Linked DNA regions of Tribolium castaneum. The protein of the gene in region 1 interacts with the protein of each later gene in a pairwise test. Links are inferred from orthologs where the notes say so. Each region holds a gene or a part of one and is shown in the gene's direction. Other genes may lie near its edges.

The links.
Region 2: the proteins of ptc (region 1) and Nedd4 interact in a two-hybrid assay, tested with the Drosophila melanogaster proteins (2 studies listed by BioGRID). The link is inferred for Tribolium castaneum from reciprocal best matches to the Drosophila melanogaster genes ptc and Nedd4.

The regions. Positions count from the first base shown.
Region 1 is NC_087403.1:6,989,459-6,993,158, forward strand, and holds part of ptc (patched), read left to right. Parts: intron 1-1,071; exon of another isoform or gene 1,072-1,384; coding exon of another isoform or gene 1,385-1,402; intron 1,403-1,461; coding exon 1,462-1,988; intron 1,989-2,769; coding exon 2,770-3,250; intron 3,251-3,305; coding exon 3,306-3,700. UniProt on the Drosophila melanogaster protein: Segmentation polarity protein. Acts as a receptor for the hedgehog protein (hh). Associates with the smoothened protein (SMO) to transduce the hedgehog signal leading to the activation of wingless, decapentaplegic and patched itself.
Region 2 is NC_087396.1:13,307,003-13,311,503, reverse strand, and holds the start of Nedd4 (E3 ubiquitin-protein ligase Nedd-4), read left to right. Parts: upstream 1-1,515; 5' UTR 1,516-1,698; coding exon 1,699-1,842; intron 1,843-2,166; exon of another isoform or gene 2,167-2,304; coding exon of another isoform or gene 2,305-2,358; intron 2,359-2,670; coding exon 2,671-2,750; intron 2,751-2,795; coding exon 2,796-2,877; exon of another isoform or gene 2,878-2,882; intron 2,883-2,933; coding exon 2,934-2,972; intron 2,973-3,065; coding exon 3,066-3,226; intron 3,227-3,318; coding exon 3,319-3,478; intron 3,479-3,531; coding exon 3,532-3,668; intron 3,669-3,715; coding exon 3,716-3,839; intron 3,840-4,501. Other genes in the region: mRpL24 (large ribosomal subunit protein uL24m), read right to left, coding at 340-1,098. UniProt on the Drosophila melanogaster protein: Essential E3 ubiquitin-protein ligase which accepts ubiquitin from an E2 ubiquitin-conjugating enzyme in the form of a thioester and then directly transfers the ubiquitin to targeted substrates.

The DNA.
Region 1 (3,700 bases):
CTAGTATCGTTTTTATTTTATTTTACGATAGCGTCTAACAAATCCCATGTAGGATGCTTCAAAACCCGATTGCATCTCAATTCACATGTTTATACATTTTATGTGTACAAAATCGGTTTCTCTTGCAAATGAACACTTCATTTTATTACGTTGACAACAGCCCCTTTCTGTCACTTTCAAGCACTTTGTCAAGAGGTACCGCTTTTTTAATTACCGGAAGTTTATTTACAATAATTAAACCCATGTAAAGCTGGAGCACCTACTTTCCTCTCTTTTTAAAAATGCACGCTCAACTCGCAAATTTAAATTCAGAACGGCAACAAATAAAGATTATGCACATGACTCGGGTTTTAATGAAAATAATCGAACTTATTTTATTTATTTTATATGTAAATGCGGTTTTATGGCTTTTTTATGCCAGGTAATTGCAATATTTGAGCGGTAAAGGCCTCGCTATTTCGGACGGAAACGGTTTTATTGATTAGCAGGGAAATGACCACTGAAATTTTGATGAATGTCTCCCAATTTAGTGAACATTCCGTTCGCATGAGCCAGCGGTTTAATGGACAACAGGAATGCCACATAAAAAATAAATACCCGAAATTGAATGCTGGCGGTTTTGTGACATAATCTGCGAGCGGAGGCTGTTGGCACCGAGCCACGATCGCCAAATTCATGACGAGGGCTCACATTTCCTATCAGCCCTTCATACACACAAAAGCTAAATAACTTATTATATATTAGTATAACTTCGTACATATACAGGCTGTCCCAATATTAGAAAACACCAAAGTTATGTTTTTTCAAATGGAACATTTTTGGGTTTAAAAAAACTTTAAAGAACAGTAGAATCGAAGGGAACACAAGTATTATACCAAGTATATAGAATATAGTATGTCATACGTCATACTTAGTCATAACAGGTGCCAAAATCTCAAGAAATCGATTTGTATCGAAAAGTCAGTGGTGGTTTTTGTTAATTGTGTCGTGAGGAGTTGTTGGAATTTGGGGTCGGGAGGGGTTTGGTGGGCGTTCGTGCGTACAGGGTGTCCTAAAATAATGGCATATCGGTACTGGCGATAAAAATGTCGTCGTTTGTATAATATAGTAATGAAAGAAGAGGAAGCAGAGGAGGAATGTGTGGTGGTTCCTTTTCGGGGTTGCGTGGTCGTTTCGGTGCGAGGGCATGTCGTGTGACAGCTGTGAGATATGGTATGGCGGTGTGTATCTGTCGAGTATGAGTAGTGATTGGCAATATTGTTGAATCGGAGTGATCGGAGTAATGGTAGGCCGCTGCGGCCGTAGGTAGGCTTGCTAGCGTTGGACGATCCTTCCTAGAAGGACAGTCTAGGCGGTGAAGTGCGGCGGAGATTGCCGTATCCATATGTATGCAACTTGGGTGGTCCGTGTGACGTCAGGCCGCTGCTTGGGTGGTCCATTGCATGGTATACTCTGTTGCAGGGCAAAGCGAGCGGAGACCGCGGCATTCTGTGGGTTCGTGGCCGAATTCAGCGCCAGCTGCGCTCCCTGGGCCGCATCCTCGATACGCACGCCGGCAAGTTCCTCTTCGTGAGCGTGCTGGCGATCGCCACCTTCTCCGTGGGCCTGAAGAGCATGGCCTTCCACTCGGACATCGAGCTGCTGTGGGCCGAGCCCTCCACGGGCGCCGAGGCGACGCCGCAGGAGATGCTCTCCACGCACCAGATGATCGTGCAGACGGCCGTCGAGCCCGACATCGACCTCCTGCATCCGCACGGCCTCCTGGAGCACCTCGCGCTCCTCCAGAAGGCCACGCAGGTCACCATCACGATGTTCGACATCACCTGGCGCCTCAAGGACTTCTGCCAAGCACCCAGCATTCCCAATTTTGATGCGCACTTTATTGAACAGATTTTCGAAAATATGATGCCCTGCTCCATCATCACGGCGCTCGACTGCTTCTGGGAAGGCTCCAAATTGCTCGGACCTGATTATCCTGTCCATATACCGTAAGTTCGGAAAACCGACCGACTTGGAGGGTGGTCACGGGCTCAGCAGCTGCCCTTTTATAACCAACTCAAATGTCTTACCTACCGCGACCGTTCCCGGAACAACAGCCAAAATGCTCGCAAAAAGGCTGATCACCCGTTTTATTCAAAATATTTACTTTTTTTCATCGTCTTATTTAATTTCATTTTTAATCCGGAATCGGAATCGAGTAATTCATATTTTTTTGGCTTGGCGAAAGAACGTAACATTATTTACGCCTTTCTTTTCAACAACAATTAACTAATTTAACTACAGTTTACATTTTTCATTTGAAATAGGGGAGATCTCGAGAGTTCGCAATGTACTCATTTTATAGAAACATAGTGAAGAGTTTGGATTAAAAAAGTGTCATAATTTCAAATTTCAAGCAATTAATTTATTAATTGGATAATTATAGTTGGTTTTGTTACATGATGATTTGTTTTTACAATAAATAAACAAAATTTCTCAAAATCCAATACTTCTTGTAATTTCGTTATGCATTTATGTTACATTAATCCATCTGAATCATATGTTCACGTATTAAGGCCTAAAATATGCGACAAGTCATTCATTTTTGAATTCTCACTTAGATTCTTTTACCGAAAATCTTAAGGCAGTATAGATAAACATGAAGAAAAGTGTCATCAAAATATTGATACATAATTTTTGTTGTTAAATTTCGATTCAGAGCATTAAATTTACAAAAAAAAGTAACCCAAAGTGTGATTTGGGTTTTATCTGGAGTTTATTTGTTTCTAGATATGGAATAGGCAAGCATATAAAATGGACAAACCTCAACCCCAGTCAGTTAGTATCCGAGTTAAAGCAAAAAGAATCCCAGTTTGATTATCATTCTTTAGAGGATTATTTCAAGCGTGCTGGAATAACCTCTGGATATCAGGAAAAGCCGTGTTTGAACCCCCGCGACCCGGAATGTCCAGTGACGGCTCCAAATTACAATTCGAGTCAAAATTTAGATATTGGTGCTGAACTAACCAGTGGTTGTTACGGTTTCGCCGCGAAATACATGCACTGGCCGGAAGACTTGATCGTTGGCGGTGCCAATAAGAATAAATCTGGTCATATTAAACAAGCCAAAGCTTTACAAACTGTTGTACAATTAATGGGCGAACACGAACTGTTCGAATTCTGGTCTGGACATTACAAAGTGCACCACATCGGATGGAACCAGGAGAAGGCCACAACCGTACTGAACGCCTGGCAGAAGAAGTTCGCACAGGTTGGTGGTTGGCGCAAGGAGTAGAGTGAATGGTGGTAATTTTTGGTTGTTCCAGGAGGTGGATCGTCTGACGAAGAGCAAGAAGTCGTCGAATTACATCTTCGTGACGTTCTCCACCGCCAATTTGAACAAGATGTTGAAGGAGGCGTCGAAGACGGACGTGGTGAAGCTGGGGGTGGTGCTGGGGGTGGCGGCGGTGTACGGGTGGGTGGCCCAGTCGGGGCTGGCTGCCTTGGGAGTGCTGGTCTTGGCGAGCTCAGCCGCCGCCGCGCTGGGCGTTTGCAGTTTGATCGGACTGCCGATAAACCTACTGAGCACGCATGTGTTACCTTTTGTTACTGTTGGACTCGCAATGAGAGAAATGTTCCTTATTTTGTCGACGCATATGAGGAATCTGTCGCCACCGGAAGTGCTACAAAGGACGGGTCCTAGCATTATCTCGGCGGCGTT
Region 2 (4,501 bases), on another chromosome or scaffold:
GTCTTTAATTATATTCATTGCACTTCTATTAATAAAATATTTATCAAGTCTGCTCTGGTGAGATAACTAGGGGAATCCCTGAATCTGTCAGTGGCGTGTGCTAATTTGTGAAATCACGCTTGGTCGTTTTTTAAACATTTGTGTGTGATGTTAAAATCTAACTAAGTAAATAACGTGTCACATGTAAGATAAGGCCTTTGGATAAGACCCAAGATTTGTAAATATACTCATAAAGTCATAATTAAAACATTTAATCACAAAATTGTATAATAAATAAAACAATTTTTAACTTTTTGTACATATTTTATTAATTAGTTTATATTACAAATTGGCAAAAAATCAATACCAGTAATATTTCGGGGGTACCCGGTCCTCTTTAATGCCCATGCTGTTCATAACATCCATTTCAAACGTTTGCAATTTCGGTTCAAACGTAATTTGCGTCACATCATTCGCTGCGGTGTCTTTGGGCTGTTCCTTATAAGTCCCCTTTGTCTTATAATCTATGGTTTCTTCCGCTGTCGCAGGAACGGGAATTATCCTCCCGGTCCTTGTAGACACCCTCACTTCCTCCCCATCTTCCGTAAACCTCCACTCAAATGGCGTGGCTTGCAAATCGGAGGGATCAACAAGTGCCACTTGTTCAGTCACCAAAAGGGGCTTCTCCACTTGCAAATACGCCCCCTCGAAACCTTTCCGCTCCCCGACTTTCTCCAAAACGCAGTTTAAACCTTCAACCGTGACCCAATTACGCTCCTGAATGATTTGTTTGACAATGCCCTGTTTTCCCTTATCTTTCCCAGCAAGAATCTCAACACGGTCGCCTCGGAAGAAGCTCCATTTTCTGATAGGCTCGACGAAAACTTTTGCGTGGTGAACCCCCGGTGCGTTCTCTTCTCGAAATTGGCTTGTCCACGGCCGGTGCATGGCAAATTTGTACTTGGTGCGCTTAGCCACCGCATTTGGTTTGTATTGGATGCCTTTGGGGTTCCTCCACTCCACTTGCTCCATCGCACGCTTTATGTAACGGTCGGGCAAATTTGAATAGTCCTTGGAGTATTTGCCCACTTTTGAAAGGAGGAACTGTGTTAGCCGCATTTTGTTCTTGTAACTACTTTAATTATTTTTCCATTTATTTTTCAAGTTAGAGGTTAGATCACTCTACAGAGGTCTATTTTATCGACGTTCGGCACCAATGCTACCAACATTTTTTAATTTTTTTTATGCGGTAATTCAAATAAAACAATTTTCAGTGTCTTTTTTTCAATGAAGCCAAAGTAATGCTTAATAATTTGTTATGAAACGAGTAATATAACCCAAAAAATAATTTTTAATTATAAAAGAAGTAGCGGTTTCAAGTTAAGATGACAAAAAATAATTAATGTTATCAAACACAATAGGGCAACATTTAACGAGTAAATAAAAAATCTAGGCCTTACACACTTTGCATGTGCGTACAGCAATGCTCTAATCTTTATCAGTGATACTAATCTCAAGATATGAGTTCACACAGCTATCCAGCTATCACACATTTCACGGTGAAAGATAAGAGAATTAAATTAAGAGAAATCTTCAAATTTGTGTTGGAATTCGTGTATTCAAGTGTTGTAACTATAAATATTTAGCTGTGGAGAACACTGTGTTTTTATAGTGCGTTTACTTAATTAAGCGTGATGCAAGAGATTAAGATTTGCATTCATGTCCTTGCAACCTCAAAATCCACCTGCTGAGCCTTCGGATGGCCCCCGGCAACGAAGTAGATCGTTGGGCAATAGATTACGATCGCTATCGATTGTATCTTCAAACCATAGCCCAAGACGATCATTTTGCGTGTCAACATTGGTAAGAATTTAAAAGCAATAAAACACCTAACTCATAATCACATGATAAAATAAACACAAGTTTAATTGCTTGCATAACCCGACGAAAAAACATTTGCCCAAACTCCCAAACCGGTACTTTTCTCAATTTTTGGTCCACTTTTGCCAACAAAACCTTTATTTTAATTATGGCACTGGAAATTTTGGGATTCGGACGCATCTCCGTAACCCTTATCAAGCAAATATCAAGATAAGAGAATATAACAAATTAAACCGAGTTTAAAAAAAAAGGTGGCAACCTTTTTGTGTCACAAGTGCGGCCAACCGCAGCGCACGGAGTTCCCCAAAAACGTCATTGTTGAAAAAAAGTTTGACATTAGAGTTTGTGTAGCTTGTCAATTCTTATTGGAATGAATAAATTGTTTTCGTGGCTGTGATCATTTTAACATTAGATGTAACATACAAATTTAGTTTTTTATCTTTAATGGCATCAGAAAATATCTATGGATACTTTCCTCAAATCGGACTCGATCGACTTGTAAGTTGCAAAATTAGTTACGTACAAGGATCATTTTCTACTATCAATGTCACTCGTATGTTTTTCCTTGGGCACATGCATATTGCGGCAAATTAAATAACTTATTTTATGATTAATCGATCTTTTAACTCCTGACCTGTCATTTGCACAAGGTCTTAAACCTCCTCCTTGCTCCTAAGCAAACCTATTTGTTTTTGTTGTGAAGTCGTAATTTAAACACAAAGTGAAACGAAGCTCTCTAATAGCGACATTATCACTAATTTGTTTATTCAATGATCTATTTACCAATCTAATCTAACCCATGTTTTGTAGACAGAAGAACCAACCAGCAAAATACGGCTCAGAATAATTAGGGGAAAGAATCTTATGAAAAAGGATATTTTTGGGGCAAGGTAACGTAATCCGCTTTTAAGCCACAAAACTTATTATCGTTTTAGTGATCCTTACGTAAAGATCGATCTGAACACAATAAACGGAGATGAAACGATTGATTCCGTTTTAACAAAAACTAAGAAAAGGGTGAGGTAATAACGATTAATAAATAGACTAAATTTTACATTTTTAACTTCCAACAGACCCTCAATCCAGAATGGAACGAAGAATTCATATTTCGGGTAAGTATCACTGATCAGAGTGGTCTGCGACTCAAGTCAAGTCACAGGCCACTTATTTGCGAGCGTGGTTTGGAACATTAATTTTCTGGCTAGGTGAAACCAGCGGAACACAAGCTGATCCTCCAAGTCTTTGACGAGAACAGACTAACCCGCGATGACTTCCTCGGCATGGTGGAGATAACTCTGATAAATCTGCCGCGAGAGCAGGAGGGGCGCAACATCGGAACAGTGAAATACCTCCTAGGCCGCAGAAGGTAGCACACTTGGCCTAACTTTTTCTAGCTTGCATGTTAATACTTGTGCTTAATTTTGCATGCTGGTCTTACTCGTCAATTACTCTACGTAGCAGTTTTAGTGCTCGTTCAAGAGTTCGAGGGCACCTTGAGATATATCACGCGTTTCTGCACGACAGCGAGGTGCCCCCGGCGCCCCCCGATTCGGACCGGATCGGCAATGAGCGCGACTGGGAGATTATGAGCGATGGGCGGGAGGAGGGGCCAGCGCAGGTAATTCGAGTTGCGATTTGTTGTGTTTTTTTAATGATTTATTTTTTGATAAGCCTGTATATGTTAATGATCCTTTTGAGTCCAATGCGCCCCTGCCTCCTGGCTGGGAGGAGCGGCAAGACGCGAACGGGAGGACGTATTACGTCAACCACATAGCGAGAACCACTCAGTGGGAGAGGCCCACGTCTAGGTACTTATTTTTGAGTGTTGGGCATTTAATTAGCGTTTTTTGTGCAGCAATAATGTCGATAACCAATTACAAGAGCAAAGGGTGCTTGAGCAGGCTGTGGTTTTTGAACGGCGCTACCACATTAGCGCCGAGGATGAGAATAATGGCAGAGGCGATTCCAGTGCAAGTCAAGTATGTTATTTTTTTTAAATAATATTACTGAAATATCAGTAGTTGGTGTAGTGGTAATGCATGTATGAGGTGGTGCATTAGTGTTATTTTGAAATTTTGGTGTTGGCAATCATTCATTGGCTATTTACATGTGAAACCCATCATGTTTTCCTTTTTTTATACGGAAAAATTCAGTTCCGTGACAGTGTCTCTCATGCAAACACGTATTGATTGACAATTTTTTAATAACAGGATTGGGAACACACTTTAAGTTGATTAATTGAACCCTATCCTGTTTTGCGTTATAGTAAGATATAAAAACTTGGCCACAATGGTGTACTTAATTGTGTCTTTAAGCCAGTGGTAATGGCGTTTTATTGATACCTAAAAACGAAATTAATAATTCAGCTAATGAATCGACTGTTTCTCAGAAATTCTTGTCTGCATTATTACGTCTGAATTTTTTATCAATCTTAATTATTCAAAAAGCAGATTATTCATGAATTAATTATGATGGTAAATTTTTGTGTTCATTTTATTTAAATTATGTAAAAATATCGCTTGATTTATAAATTTACTGCAATAACGTCTCGTGGTAAACATATAATTTTTTTATTAAATTTGCTTTGCAATAATTAAAAAATGCATAATAATAGGATATTTTTATCATTTTGACATATACA